Linked DNA regions of Lytechinus pictus. The protein of the gene in region 1 purifies or fractionates together with the protein of each later gene. This does not show direct contact. Links are inferred from orthologs where the notes say so. Each region holds a gene or a part of one and is shown on either strand. Other genes may lie near its edges.

The links.
Region 2: the proteins of dual specificity mitogen-activated protein kinase kinase 5-like (region 1) and hsp90 co-chaperone Cdc37-like purify together in Homo sapiens (affinity purification with mass spectrometry; 3 studies listed by BioGRID and IntAct, with this or other methods). This does not show direct contact. The link is inferred for Lytechinus pictus from reciprocal best matches to the Homo sapiens genes MAP2K5 and CDC37.

What each region holds. Positions count from the first base shown.
Region 1 is NC_087249.1:19,536,396-19,544,744, reverse strand, and holds the start of dual specificity mitogen-activated protein kinase kinase 5-like, read right to left. Parts: upstream 3,204-8,349; 5' UTR 3,012-3,203; coding exon 2,913-3,011; intron 1-2,912. Other genes in the region: short transient receptor potential channel 5-like, read left to right, coding at 6,077-6,248. UniProt on the Homo sapiens protein: Acts as a scaffold for the formation of a ternary MAP3K2/MAP3K3-MAP3K5-MAPK7 signaling complex.
Region 2 is NC_087263.1:6,061,553-6,069,600, reverse strand, and holds the start of hsp90 co-chaperone Cdc37-like, read right to left. Parts: upstream 3,150-8,048; 5' UTR 3,082-3,149; coding exon 3,049-3,081; intron 1-3,048. UniProt on the Homo sapiens protein: Co-chaperone that binds to numerous kinases and promotes their interaction with the Hsp90 complex, resulting in stabilization and promotion of their activity. Inhibits HSP90AA1 ATPase activity.

The DNA.
Region 1 (8,349 bases):
AGGCCCTTTAGCGTACGTGCTGGCATCCCCGGCTAATTCTCGTTCCTTAGTCAAAGGCGCCTCATGTGGTTGGGGCATGTTCACCGCATCGCCAAGATAAGATGAGCTGTGTGCTTGTTCTCACCCCATTTGTAGATCACACCTTCGTCATAAAGACACCTGCAAACGTGACATAAAACTTGCCGGCATGTACACTAACACTTATGAAGATGTAGATGATAGTCGCCATTCTATGGAGAGCTAATAAGTACAGGGGTCAAGACGTGAGAAAATAATCAGAATGCTTTTGGCAGACCAAAGACCTAGGAGGAAGGCTAGGGCAGCATCTCTATCTATACCTGTCTCAGTGCCATCCTCCTTCACCTGTACAAATTTGCTCTAGAGACTGCCACTCTAGAGCTAAGTTCTACAGCCACTCTCGAAAATGTAAGACCCTATAGCGCTACACCATCGTCTTTTAAGACGAACTGATGCCTACCAATCATTGGACACATTGATATAGGGAAAACATGGAGAAAAGACTTTCAAATTCAAATAAGACACTAAAAGCCTATTCAGTACAAGAGTATGGATGGACATTAAAACAAATAAAAATACACACGAAATGGATCATAGCCAAAACCTTAAAAGGATTCATTCTAAGGTGAGCAGCTAATGTCGAAATCTGACATCTCAGATGTGACTTCACCTTGACCTAAAACTTGAGAATTAATAAAAGAAACGAGTGTTCTTACTGAAATCCCTTTATATTAGCCATTACACGTATAAGCCTCGGAAAGTAGTTTTTTTCAAGATGGCGTTTGGCGGCCATCTTGGATTTGATCTGAAGATTGTCCTTTATGCAAAATTACAACATAAAATGAATCAACAAACCAAATGACTCACGAATAGATTTAATATTCATGATTCTGGGGCAAAGGGTTCAAAAGTTAACATTTAAAAATATAAAAATGGCGTCATATGGCGGCCATCTTGGATTTGACCTGTAGATAACATTATATTGCAAAATAGATAGCAGAAATGGATTCTACACACCCCAAAACCCCTAAACAAAGTTGTTACTCATCATTCTGGGGAAAGGGGTTCAAATTTAATTTTTCAAGATGGCATCTGGCGGCCATCTTGGATTTGACCTGAAGATGACCTTATAATGTAAAAATGATAATAGAAATGGATTCTACCCTACCCTAAACCTCTAAAAGGAGTTATTCCTTATCCTTTTGGGGCAAGGGGTTCAAAATTTAGGTTTTTAAGATGGCATGTGGCGGCCATTTTGGATTTATGCAAATTAGCAAAATTGCCCAAAGTTGCCGTTTGGGCAACCAAGCTGAATTTGTTCTAGGACCCCATAGGAACATGAATCAAGAAAAAAACTTCATCGGAAAGACATTTCTAGGTTCGGAAAATGTCAAATCGACTACTTGCCACCAAGAATGATCTAGTCGACTGTGAAGTACAACTGAATTGTGACTGTGAGATCATCGCAACAAGGATCTAGATTTATGGCCAACAGCCACTCATTGTTGTGTCTTCCAACCGACCTCCTAAAAATGATGGTCTATGCTCAGTCTCTGTGCCAAGCAATCCAACAGATTACGATCAGTAATCCTTCTGCAGTAGTCTGGGTCAGCAGGGATTTCAATCTTCCCGACATTAATTGGAACACTGCATCCATCGACGGTCACCAATACACTGCTGCACTGAATGATTGAAGTCCACCTTCAATGATGTCGGACTGTCACAAATTGTCAACTTTCCAACTCGCACGGACAGAACACTTGATTTGTTCTTGACGAATACTCTCATGGATAAAGGACTTTCTTGAAGGGCGTACACAACAAGTTATACTTGACGGAAAGATGAGTAACAGCAATCCTGTCACACCGGGCATGCCCCAAGGTACAGTCCTCAGTCCGCTTCTGTTCACTGCAACCATCCTGCCTGTGGAGAATCTACAGGTAGGACTATGGTATGCCAATGCTGTATTGAGCACACACTTTAAAAAATCATTAAAATATCACTTTCGTGACCAAAATAACTAATTTCCATACAGTTGCAATTTATTTCCATTAGTAACTTGTAATTTTTGTATTCAACAGAGCGCTCAAAAACTTGAATTTTTGGCATATTTTTGTGAACACCCTCTATTGGTGGAAAGTAATATGGCAAGAAAATTTACATTTTTCAATCTCTATTTTTTATTCAGAAAAAATAATTTAAATAATCAAATTTACATAAGAGCCAAGTTATATGATGAACAGCTGTATTGGAAACTGACAGTGTAAGAAAATCAAGCATTTGTCCCATAAAAAAGAGAAAATAAGCCAAAATTGCCACCCTTATTTGCCACACATGGAGATGTAACTCACTAACTGAGAACAAGGTTATAACACATAACCTTGTTCATTGAATGAGTGGGCAGGCCCAGGGGCTGAGGGGCAGGGAAATGCTGAAAATTTACCCAATTTCATTCTTCTTTTTTGTAGCCAATAATTGGATTAAAAAAAAAATACATTTCTGTCATTCTGAAGGTTATTTCTCTTCAAATTCACAAAGAAAATGTGATATTTTCTTAAAATAAGATTTTTTTTTTTCCAGACACCCTATTTTTGTTTTCTTTACAATTGGAAATGTCATTGACATTAAATGTCATGATTTGGTACATAGAGACTGTGTGGAAAGTCTACTTTCACTGCTAATTGAGGGAAGTACCTATTTTTGCTTGTTTTAATATCCTATCTTTTGTGAATTTTGTAACATTTTAATACCGCCACTGGCTCACTCGTCAACATTATCAAAACCAATGTAAGGTACAAAACAAGACAATAAAATGAATATGTCGGACCAAGATGACCGAGTGAGAGCGAGTGAAAAGTTTAACCGATCAAAACACCCTTAGATCTAGGCCTTACCAAGACTTCATGAAATGACAATTGACCAAGCTGCACTGTCCAATCAACGTCCTCTCCATGTTGTGTTTTTATTCTTATGACGAGAGGTTGTGCTGCCATGTTTTATCCACTTATAGGTCTATTCGGCGAATAATACTACGAGTTCGGAAAATGTAAACCAACCAGAAATCCGGAAGCGAATACATAAAAAAAAATGAAGAAAGGGGACGAATTATTTTACTTATTATTTCAACTATGGTATCTTTGCAGCGCAGAGTTTGTAGGGGGCCGATCACTGATCTCTCCACTAGTGGAGAGATCAGTGGGGCAGATGGGTGTATGGGGGGGGGGGGGGGGTATTGGGGGTGAACATAAGAACATTCATTGATTATCTGACTCAGATCTCCCATTTTGGAGCGTCGTGGCCCAGTGAATTAGTCTCCGGACTTTGAAACAGAGGGTCGTGGGTTCAAATCCCAGCCATGGCGTAATTTTTTTCAGCAAGGAATTCATCCACAGTGTGCTGCACTCGACCAAGGTGAGGTAAATGGGTACTGGCAGGAAGTAATTCCTTAAAAAAGCTGTGTGCACCGAAAAGGTAGCCTAGCTTAGCCGGGTAATAATAGCAGGGCCCGCTGGGAGAACACTTTTCGGAACTGAAGTGGCTACCATGGGTAACTACCTTTATTATTATTATTATTATTATTATAATATACTCTGCTTTCTTCTTTCTTTCCTTTCCTCATTTAATGAAAAAGATAAGAGGATGAGAAAAGTTGAATAAAACAGGGATTGTAAAAATAAAGTTTCAGGTCAATATACTTTGCTCAAGACGATAACATGCATGGGGCTTGAAAATTTTCGTTTTCAAGTTTCCATTATTATTTTTTCAGCGAGATCGACACGCATCATGTTAAGAAAATGAGTGCTGAACAATATCACAAATTTCCAGTTCGTGCTTGCTTCGCACTCTTATTATTTGATTGACTGGCTAAATGTATAATCTTTATCAATTCCAAGAACAATATTGATCGTCCCCTTTTCCGGTAAGCAGACCTTGTATTTTAACTATTTTCCTCCTTTATTTGCATTCCATTAATTGTTTAGCAAGACACGCATCCTGTTCATGACTACAAAAAGATCATCAGAATGCCCAATTTAAGTAGGCCTGTATACCCCCCCCCCAAAAAAAAAAAAAAAAAAAAAAAAAAAAAATCAGCTCGCGCTTCACGCTCGCATCATTATAAAAAAAAATTAAACTTTCAGGTCTGAATACATGGAATATCCAACATTTTGAGCTCGCACTTTGCTCTTGCATTTTTTTTATTTAGGTTTTATTAGATATACTCTCTCTTGCTTGTAAGAATTAAGTTAAGATGTACTTAAAACATCGATCAGTCTTTGGTCCCTTTAATAGTTAATGTTACCTCCCCCCCTTAAAAACCAACAATCTTTACAGGCCGATCGGGGAAACTGTGGATGAAAATCTTTTCAGCCTGATTTGTACAGATTAGACAATAAGGAACGTTGCCCCCTGATCCAATGCATTCGTCATTTTAACTCATTTTTGTTTCATGTTCACTCCAAACAATCTATTCCAATTTGTAATAAAGATACATTTAGAGAATTTATATTAACAAGATCAGACGATTCTTTCTCAATATGAATAAATAAATGGATTCTATTCGTTCGAATAACAATTTGTGACAAGAGGCTTTTTAATAGATATTCTAACATTAAGCCATTATTATGTTATGTTTTTAATCTTTAGTAAACATTATACCACTTGGTACGTGAGAATGATAATGACACAAAGGTGTTTATATTTTAATAAATAAGGTTAACTATATGTGTGAACATCAGAGACAAAATTACCCAGCCATAAGTATGGGAGGGACAATTAAAATATATTATAAACACAGTAAATGAATTATTGTCAAAATTAAACAAAATTGATAATACATAGAATCTATTCAGTTCGTCAATATTCAAGAACACAGAATACATAAATTCGATCGGGTGCCGCCCTGGCATTATAGGCCTATACCTATTTCATTAAAATTTGAGTAGATTAATTTAGAGTTTCCCTAATTGTGCACTTTTGTTTGCATAATTTTGGATGACAGAAGGATATCAGGTACATGAGAAAATCCTATTGATTCACAATGATTTTCCCCATTTCTATTAAGATTTATTCTTGAGAATCTTCCCATAGTAGGCAGTGAACATACGATAATTAATTATTCACCGCATACAGAATATAATACTTAGGCAATATATACGATAATTATTAATATCAGCACACAATCATGACTAATACAATATTGAATAGCCAAGGCCCGAAGCTTTTCAGATCCAGCCATGCAATGAAGAACAAATAATTGCATTTTCTGCTTCCATTTCCCCATTTCAAATGATTTTTGTTGAACTCTTTTCTCGCTTTGTGCCGGCTGCTGGTACTTCCAGCGGCATGATTGATAAACATTGCTCGATTATGATTATTAGGCGGAGCTCGGTTTATACCTTTGTATCAGACCCATTTAATATAACGATCAGTTGTATAAAGCTTCGTGTGAAAAGCTTCACAGAATTTTGTCAGATTCGTGGATGATATAAAGAGATAATTCTTGTTATGGATACTAGTATACTGAGAAATGACATGACTACAATGTGGTTTGTGCGGCTGACGTGTTTAGATGTGTACGACTATAATGGATACCTGCAATATTAATGTTGGCGAAACGTTTTCTCCGAGGTAGAGATCAATTCGACGTTGGATCATGGGTCCATGATTGGATTAAAGGAACCCTCTTAAATCTTTGATCGACTGAGATATGTTGTTGTTCACTGGAGACAAGTGCAAATCTACATCGATGATAATGCAATGTCTATCAGTTCCAGTTATATGTGCCATTCTTCGCTCGTGAAGGGGTTTAATCATGGAATGTAAACAACAGAAAATATTGCACTGTTTTACGCCGCCTCAATTTGTCAAGTGAATGAATAGACCTCAAAGGGAGTTTAATACACATTATTAAAAGAACTGGAAACAATTATGAACTTGATCATCAATTGATTTGTAGAGGGCTGTCATATTTCTTCATTTTTCCTGAGGAAGAGGCCTCTAAATAAGTCTTTGGAGTAAAAAGCAGTATAAAGCAGGGAAAAGCAGACAACTGGCAAATATGACATTCAAGAAATTTTATCGGCAGAAGCTATTTGAGGCCGTCGAGTCGATGGATCTCTTGCTCGTAAAGACGTTCCTCTCTAGACCAGATGATTTGGGATTGGACTGGAACTACAGAGACAAGAACGGTCGGTCCGTCTATGCACACGCCATCAAGATTGGTATAACTCGTAAGTGCACACTTCTTTTAAAATAGAATTCATTACACAATATGAAATATGCTTTATCAGCAACCGAAAAGTTTTGGAATCATTTTGGTGAATTTTTGGAGGAAATTGGTGAAGGTAAAATAGAGAATATTTGAAATCCGAAAACGCCTATTATAGTCCCATATTAAAGATATTGTATCTGAAACGAGCTTGTGCTAAAGTAAACGTGATGAGGACATGGGGTGGGGGGGGGGGAGTAAGGCAAAGAAACGCTCCAATTTGTTTGGCAGTTTTTCAATGACTCAATGACAATAAATTCATACCTTCACAAAATGATAAAAACTAAAAATTATATATATGTAAATAAAGATCCGAAAAATGGAAATAAAATAAATCAATATATATATATATATATATATAATGATAAAAATATCATAAATAAATGAAGGAAGGACTGAATGAATGAATAAAATATATCACTTCTGAAAAGAGCAATATTTGAAATAAAATAACCTGACAAGCAAAAATAAAAAGAAATGAAGGAGATTGGAACTCTAATCCATACGAAGATTGTTTGCCTTGAAAGATCAAGGGGTTGAAAAAGAAGGCATATTGTTGTCTTGTTATCGATGATTTAACAGCACTCATGAGCCAAAATAAATCAAGAATGCCATGAGTGTTTACCAGTAATGGGGGGGGGGGGGCATGCTAAATACAGAAATCAAATGGAATCGATTCTTGCAATAAAATGTTAAAGGGTTCTGATCACTAGATGTATATAGTTTTAGACGCATATTACTATATTCGTTTGTGACATTCCATCCCCCGAACACAGAAAATCCATTTCGCATGTTATCTAGACCGATTGAAAGTTGGAAAATTACAAGTTATGCATTTGTATATACTTTCGGAAGTTTATGCCCCCTTTTACATCGTCTGTAAGAAGGTCTGTTTCTCTCCTTGATCCAGCTTGATTTTACTCACAATCTTCATGTCATTCTTGACACCCCCATCCAGTGGCGTACCGTGGGTCACGGCATTGGGGGGGGGGGGGGGGCACCAGCAAAAATATCTTAGGATATTTTAGGAATCCATTAAGTGCATACATATCTCAGCATAGTCATCTAGTACTAGTGCCATCCTTTGCTGATTTTGTTAGAATTACATCTAAACACATGAAGCACTTTTTGTTGTCATAGTCATACGTATCTCACTAATCAAATACTGCGAGCGCGAAGCTGAAAATTTAGGAAATTCAGACCTGAAAAAGGGGCATTCTACGGCTTGTTTGCAGGAATTCACTAAGACCGTACGTATTTCACTAACCAAATGATGCGAGCGCGAAGCGCGAGCTGAAAATTTTTGATATTGAGATCAGAAAAATTGACATTTTAAGGACTGATTTTAGGAATTCATGAAGAGCAGACGTCTCACCAATCAACTAATGCGAACATTAGCACGGACAGGAAATGTTTTATATTAATACCTTAAAATAGGGCAATCGCTTTAAGTATTCATGAAAAAGAAGCAAATGTCACTACATTAAACAATAATAACTCGAATTGCGAGGAAATATATTTGGTGTACAGTATATTGATTTGAAAACGGGAGGTTTTAGTACAACAGGATTATATATCTCGTTAAACAGTCTATGCGAGCACAAGGAACAATGAAGACATAGGCCCTGAGCAAATAATGTTTCATAAAGTGATGAAAAACTGCTTCTTATGTAATATAACATAATATAATATAATAAAACAATATAATGAACAATAATTTATTTTTTCCCCACTACGTTTCTCTTCCTTTCTCCCTCCTTTTCTCCTTTTCCTCGTTTTTTTGGGGGGCCAGCCGATTGGGGGGGGGGGGGGGGGCACGTGCCCCCCATGCCCCCCCCCCGTAGTTACGCCACTGCCCCCATCCCTCCCTGGAGTAGTAGATTTCGCCGGTGTGACCAAAGCAATTGAGCAAGTGTATTTTTGGTCATAGGATCAATTTGAATAAGTTTTGATATTTATCGAATTTTACACACCAAACACCATATTTTGACTTTTGTATGAAGGCATGGAACTTTGAAATATTTCCGTAATGCCAATTCCTTCTCTAATTTTGAAAGGAACTT
Region 2 (8,048 bases), on another chromosome or scaffold:
CTAGCATGGCCAAAAAAAGCATCGACTATTTTCCTCCCCTTCCCTCACCCAAACATCATGACCTTATCGAACTAGATCAAGTGTGATACTTGACATAAATTTATATAACAAATTTGATCTAATTGCTGAAAATAATATGAAAAATGACTAAAAACTCACCGATTTTTCCACCTCCGGTGACCGTCACTACTCTTGGTTCGTTCAATGGTGTTTGATCGTGACAAATCGAAAAAGAAAAAAATATCACGAAGCCATAGAGGTTCATCCACCCCGATGGATGAAACACTACTCGTGATGCATTCTGGTAAACATGTCTCGATAGCCTCGACAGATTGGCAATTTTGTTTCGTCTAGATAAACATGTTTAAAGAATAAAAAAGTCCAAAAACTCCAAATGGCTATTTTGGGGGGCTTATCTATAATATTTCTAGTACTGTATCCAGAGCATCATTTGTCTGTTTTCCTCTTCCCTTACCCTTTCTTTCTTTTTTCTTTTGAGCGTAAATTAATTCTTTTGATTTTTTATTTCTTACTTTTTTTTCAGTCTTTGTTCTTTGGTTTTTTTTCTTCTTTATTTCTATTAAGGGGAACTCTCCCCTCCTCCTGAAATTTAAGGGGTATTGAATGTGTACCCCCCCCCTCCGCCGCCTGTGACAACAATAATTCTTGTGTAAAAAAAAAATAGTGAACAAAATATTGAGTGTCAGGCAGTGGCGTACCCAGGATTTTCCAAAGGGGGGGCAAATTCGTCCGCCAAAAAATTTGAAAAAAAAAAAAAAAAAAAAAAGGTCTTCAAGTTCAAAAGAGGGGGCCACTTGTGGCTCGTCACAGGGATCAGTTGTGACTCGTCAGGGGGGCAGGGGTACGTCCCTTGCATGAGTTGTGACTCGTCAGGGGGTGCAGTCTGCCCTCCCTGCCCCTTAGGTACGTTAGTGGTGTCTGGTGAGAAAAAGACTACAGTCCCCGGATCACGGAGCTTCCTATTATTATGCTTCACCGGAAACAGGTAGGAGCTTATTGTAACCAGCTCTGTGGTCGCCACTGTTCAGTGGCTAGCTTTCTTTTATTCAGCACAAGAGGGCGTGCTGAAATACTTACGTAGGAGACTATGGACCAGACGAGAATAAGGAAAAATTTCCTTATGATTTTACCCGATTTAGAAAGAAATCTTCAATTGAAGGACGATATTTGACTCATTGGGCATTGGAATCCTGTTTAAGTAGAACCAAAATCTGCATTTGGGTCAACACAAGAATTGGTAAGTCAGACTCTTTTACTTCGCGCGTTCCTACATTAGAAATGACAGTGTTAGCGGCACTGGTCTCAGATCAGTCCCACCCCGTACATTTTTCTGTATGGCGAATGGTCGGGGTGAACCAGTGAGCACATGCACCATTTCATTTTAGTTTTACAAAGTACCGTAAGTAACGGTGTATTAACCGCACCTTTTTCTCGGCGGGACAGAATCAAAAGTCGGGGGTGCGGTTTATACACGGTGACAGGTCTGAGCCAAGCCAATCTCAGCCCGATACCACTACCATTTTTCAACTCGCGTCGGGTGGCCGAGCGTAGCCGCTTGGGGCAATCCCGTTTAGAGGGGTATGAGCCGCGGGTATAAAAGGGAAGCAACTATGACTACCGGTATCTGCCGTAAATGTCCCTCAAAGTTATATCACGGTAACAAACGCACCTACCTTCATGAAACTGACTTATTTTAATGGTGTGACTCTGTCTTTGTTGTCATTTTTTAGTCATCGCGGCAAAGTTCAGACGCCAATCGATCGCACAGCGCGGTGCAGCTAGCCGAATAAGACATGCATGTGTAATGTTTATCGCAACGTCAACGTAAGCTGGCGCTTTACCTTTCTGTGGAAGTTATTTTGTTTGACAAATTATTGGTATTATTTGACAATTAATTTCTTTCATTTGCCTTTCCTTCATTTCTCTCTATCATCCATCATCTCAAAATCAATCTTCAATCCCCATCTTCACTCCTCCCGACTTTTTATTTTTAATTATTATTCACTTTATTCCCGCCCAGAGCTCCCATTGAAAATACGGTATACCGGTACTAGCATTTTTTTTCCTATTTTGCTGTCTGTAAGATACTGCCACACACGTACTGAGAACTACCGGTAGTGGTTCAAAGCAGACAAGAAAAACACCTGAACAAAATCGCAAATTTCTCGTATCTTGAACCTTCCCGTATTCCCTTGTCTAAAATTCATGTCAAGACATTGAATGCTAGACAGAATTCTGAAAGCAAAAGTGGGGCTGTGATGCAGGAAATATGATATGAACGATCTTCTCGTATGGGTGAGCCCCCATGTTGATGCTGGTATCGGTACTTGCAATGAACACCGGTACCATATGTGTGTGTGTGAGGTGACTCGGAGTGTGGAAGTGGCCAATAATATCGGCAACTTGCAGATAAGTGACGAAGCGCTGATTTCCCATCATTTTTTACCAGTAATTCTTCGAAAGTTCGATATTTTTTGGCTCTTGACTCTTTCTTAAATACGCATATTAGAGATAGAAAGTAAGTTTGATTAAATTTTTTTTTATGATTTTTTTTTTTTTTTTTTCCATCCGAAAATGGGGGGTGCGGTTAATACACGGGTGCGGTTAATACACCGTTACTTACGGTAATACAATACCGGTACTGAACTTCTGAAGCACAGGCTTTACTCAGTGAGTCAGTCACTGTGTCTTTTTTCCAATTTAAATTGCCAGTGCAGTGCCAAATTTAAATAAACTCACATATGAGAGGAAAAAATCCTGTCGAACCTGATGAAAAATGAAGTCCGCTCGTTTGCAACACTCCCCCCACACAACTTTGGCACAAGCTAAACTCAGTCAGACTCAGAGTCAGAGTCACAAAAATCACTTTACATCAGTCCCATAAACTGAAATTGGTGGGGTTCAACAAATTGCAATAAAGAAAATGAAGACTGGCTTTGAAATTGTTTGCAAATGATTTTAATCATCACAAAAAAATACATTATGTAAAGTCACGAATGATAAACCTAAAACGGAACATAATATTACCTCAATATGATCCCACTTGCTGTAATCAACCATTTTGTCAGAGCTTCAATACTTCTGATTCAGCTTCGATCAGATATGGACGGACGAATGTTCGGGAAATCGGCTGTATATCATCAACAGCTGGCGCTAGACCGCTTGCTCTCTCTGGCTTGCTTCAGACAGTGGTTTGTCTCCCGAGCTAGCCATATATCAAAGGTGAGTCCCGGGGATGAGTCATCGGAACTGGAGCCCCCCTCCCCCCTTCCCACACACACACCCACACACACATACTTTTTTTCAGTTTCCATGTACAAAATGTCAATATTACCATCGAATAGTGATTTTATCATTAATGTTATATATAAAGAAATCTTTAAAAAATCAATTTGATAGTTTCGGACAGCGATAGAAAGAGGGGCGCACAATCTACATGATAAAGTGGAAGGTATATGGTACACAGGTTATGAAGTTAAAATTCATAACACAAAACTCCCAACTCCTTGGTAACATTGCACATTTTAGCTCATACAATATAGCGAATGAAGTGCACTGGGTTTTTCTGAAGTTAGGTAATTTTTCACCCCCCCCCCCCTAAATTTGTTTAAGGACGTTCCACAGTTATGTTTGTGTGCATTATGATCTGCGCATATTTTACACTCCGCGCGCTGACGTCACAATGAATGAACAGGTGATTAATTAGCTGTGGGTATGAACTGAATTTTCTCATCATCTGCACTCTAACTGCAGATCCGATGCGTTAGTTTATGAAGCTAAAAAACCTTAATTATTCCATGGACCATTTAAAAAAAACATCTTTACAATTTTAAAATACTTTACTCTGCAGTGCTGCCAAAAATCACAAATATGACCCCGAGTTTAAATAAATGGTAGAGTGGTTTTGATTTTTTCTTCTCATAGATACAAAGCATTTGGCGCATTTTGGTGTTTTAAAAAGCACATTTGCTCTAATGAAAATGCTGATAGTTTGAAAACAAGCACATGAAGCCCTATTTTTTAATGTTTGCACCTCTTGGGTATACCTTCCTCTACAACTTTGCAAATTTTGGTGAAAATGACATGGATTTTGAATAAAGTGCAGCATTTATTGTACTTTTGTAGTTTGTTATTGAAATTTCACATTTTTAAGATTGGGTTTTTGTTATGTTTTACGCCATTTTTAAGAACTCACAGTGCTGTTAGACTTAAAATTGCAAACAAATAGCACTATAAATAGATTATCCATTCTAACGATACACTTATAAACTCTCTTGCGAAATTTGATGACTTTTTCATGTATTTTGACTGAGTAATAGAGGTTTAAACTCATTGTAGTGATCTTGCGAGGTCTAAAAATGCCAAATTCTTTTGAATGCGCAATCCGTAAGAACATTCATTCGGGTGAACTTTGAAGCTCCATAGCAAAAAATCAAGCACATGGACCTATGTTAATTTTTGCATATTTCGAATATTCAGGTTCTAAAGTATCTATGTGCAAAGTTTGGTGAAAATGACATGGATTTCATTTTAACTGTGGAACGTCCTTAAAGGGGAAGATCTATAACCTCTCGTCACATATACTTGAGCGTCAATCCATTGCACATCACTTATAAAGAGTGTGAACATGTTCCTTAGTTAGATACGCTTCATGTTTATGATAAAAAGACAACTTAGAATATTCCGTATTAATGTCTTAATATTAAAAAACATTCACACTCGCATTGAAAGGGGCGCGATTTTAGCGCTTGCCCCGGGCGCCGTTTGTCCAAGATACGCCACTGCAATGCTCACCTTCATGCAAGTATAGCTGCTTTTATGATTTACAAAAAAAAAATGGTTATATTTGACATCATATCACTTACGTATCACTTGAGGGGGGGGGGATCATTTGCTTTTGCTTGTCCCACTTTGTGGAATAGCCTTCCTGAAGACATAAAAAACGTACGTCTGTCGAGACTTTAAAAATCTTCTAAAAACTTTTTTTTAAACTCTTTGCTCTTTATGCGCCTTGAGCAATCTACAGAGTGGATTTGGCGCTTATTGTTATCATTATTATTATTATTAACATTATTATTATTATCATTACTATTATTATTATTATCATTATTATTATTATTATTACGTACAGATGGAGGCCTGGCTTGAGGGCCATAACCCCTCCCCAAAAACAATAAATAAATAATAATAATGATGATAAATTATAATCAATTGATGGAATAGAATTTATTTTTAAATGTAATTTGAAAATTTGTGGAATATGAATAAATGAATAAATAAATAAATAAATAAATAAATAAACAAACAAATAATCAAATTAATATTAATGAATAAATAAAATAAATAAAACAAAATAAGAGTTTGAAAAATATCACGACCAAGATAAAAGGGGGGAATAAAGCAAATGTAAGGGGAAATGATTAATAGATATATAGACCGAATCTTATATGTCATCAGTCTTCTCTCATTTGCATACCGACCAGGATGTGAATATAACTATTTTTTGAAATTTAACAAAGCTTTAAAATGTCATAACTTTCTTATTTTACATCCAATTTTGTTTGATTTTTCTCTTTTTATTCAAACCAACTTTGAACTTTGTGTGAAATTTTCCTTTTCCAATATTAAGCAATTAGGAAGAAATAAAAGGGTTGAAATTTTAATTAAATTAATCAAAATCATACTATTTACTCACCTGATTTTGCAGTTGTTTATCATGAAAATTGTCGATCACAAGCAAATTCAATAATTAAATTGGTGTATATTTTGCAGTTTTTGTATAAAAAAGGTCTAGCAATAACAAATTATGTGGGAATCCAATAAATGATTGATAAAAAAAAATCGTTTTGAGGTATCAAGTTCATGCAGCCACCACCCCCATCAGTTCAAATTCAAAAGCAGGAATTACAAATGGGGGGAACCGATTCAGCCGGATAAGACACAACACCATTTTAGAGGCCATATTGTTTATTTTTGCATAATAGTCGGCCTCTCAAAATCTAATCAGGATATATCTGCACCTGGGTAGGGGGGTCCCATGGGCACTCACGTACGGCAGTATAGGTTACTTATGTGCAGCCCTTAAGCCACCCCCCCCCCCTTCACGCCTGTTATATCAGTTCCCAATTATAATCCACTGTAACCTATTATACCCGCTCTCTCCCGTCCCCAAGCCCCTATAATTTCAGGGAAGCGTTTCATCAAGATTTTCATCCGACGAGTTGTCAGATCTGACATCTTTCTCTGATGTTGATTGGCTTATTTTTTTTATTTTTTTATTTTTTATTTATTTATTTATTTATTTATTTATTTATTTTTTTTTTTTTTTTTTTTTTACAAGTACGATAATACACCAACCCGGGGAGTGTTTCATCAACATTTTCATCCGACAAGTTGTCAGATCTGACATCTTTCTCTGATGTTGATTGGCTGAGAGGTACTGTTACTATGGTAACTGTCGGATAAAATGGGACTTGTCGGATAAAACGTCCGACAAGTCCTTTCATGAAACGCTCCCCTGGTGGACTGTACTTAAACGGATGATGATGATGATGATGAGGTACTGTTACTATGGTAACTGTCGGATAAAATGGGACTTGTCGGATAAAACGTCCGACAAGTCCTTTCATGAAACGCCCCCCTGAACTTGTCGGATAAAACGTCTGACAAGTTCTTTCATGAAACGGTCCCCATGCAGGCGTCAGTTTTCACAAATCAAGAGTATAAAGACCCTCATTTCATGTCAAATTCCAGATCCCATGGCCTTTGAACTTCGGTTGCCTTTTAAAAAAAAAGAAAAACCCTGTATAAATATTGTTTAATTCAAACAATAAAAAACAAAGGATCTAGTAAGTGAGGGACACCATCGAATCTCCCATTTGCACATCACTTAGTTGTTTTTCTATTCTCTGAAAAATACATATATGCGAAACTTAAAAATTTCATCCGATTTTGATGAAATTTTCAGCGTTGATATGCTTGTTTGATTTTCTCTATTCAAATCAACATTTTTTCTGGGGTGGATTTGACCTTTAAGGGCACTGTTTTGGATTTTGGGGCCGCAAACCTCCATCCTTTCCCATGCAGTCCAAGTGGCCCACTGGCATACAGATAGCTAGGGGTTTGGAGGCCATGCCCCACCGAAAAAAAAGTTTCACGACCAAGAAAAATAGAGGAAAAAGACAGAAAGGGAAAGGAAAAAGGGATGAATATAATAGCCTTTTTTAGACATTAGGCCTATGTCAAATCTATCACAAAATTGGATTTTTGTGTTGTACGTTTTGCTTACTCGCTTCACAAGCAGCTTTGGCGAAAGTTTGCCCCCATAAATACGTCATATCCCCCTCAAAATGGGCTACGCAATCCCCGGGTATGAGGGGGGGGGGGGCCACTTACATTGACGAGTGGATACCATGCGTGACCAAAAAACACGTAAAAAGGATGTCTTTATCACGATAGGGCACGTTACGTACGTAACGTGATAAGGGTGTCAAAAACACAAAAATATTGAAAAAATGGTATCTATTTCGCTAGGAAAATTACGTGTTTAGGGTCAAATTTGCGGGGTTGATAAAACAAAATTAAAATGTTTTATAAAGGATGTCCTTTTTGCCCCAACACTTCGTGTTTAGAGTCCGATTTGCGAGAGGTGTAGAAGCCGGTGGGGTCGTACCCCTACTAAACCAAATGAGGTAAAGCCGACGACCGAAGGACCCGTAACAATAAAACATTCCTGTACTTGTTTAGGGGCCCATTTCAGGGAATATTTGCCATGAGTATCGTTTTGTTTCTAATACTTGTTAAGGGTAGGGTTTCACACGCCAATACTTGTTAAGGGGTGCATTTTCAGAATATGGAAATTACGTGTTTAGGGTGCTTTTCAAGACCCCATGGTCGCGCATGGTATCCACTCGTCAATGGAAGTGGCCCCCCGGGGGGCTCATATCATGTCACTAATATTTGACGGCACAACTTTCTGTTCCAGGAGGTAAAATACTTTTTATGCAGGAGCAAACCCCACTTCTGGT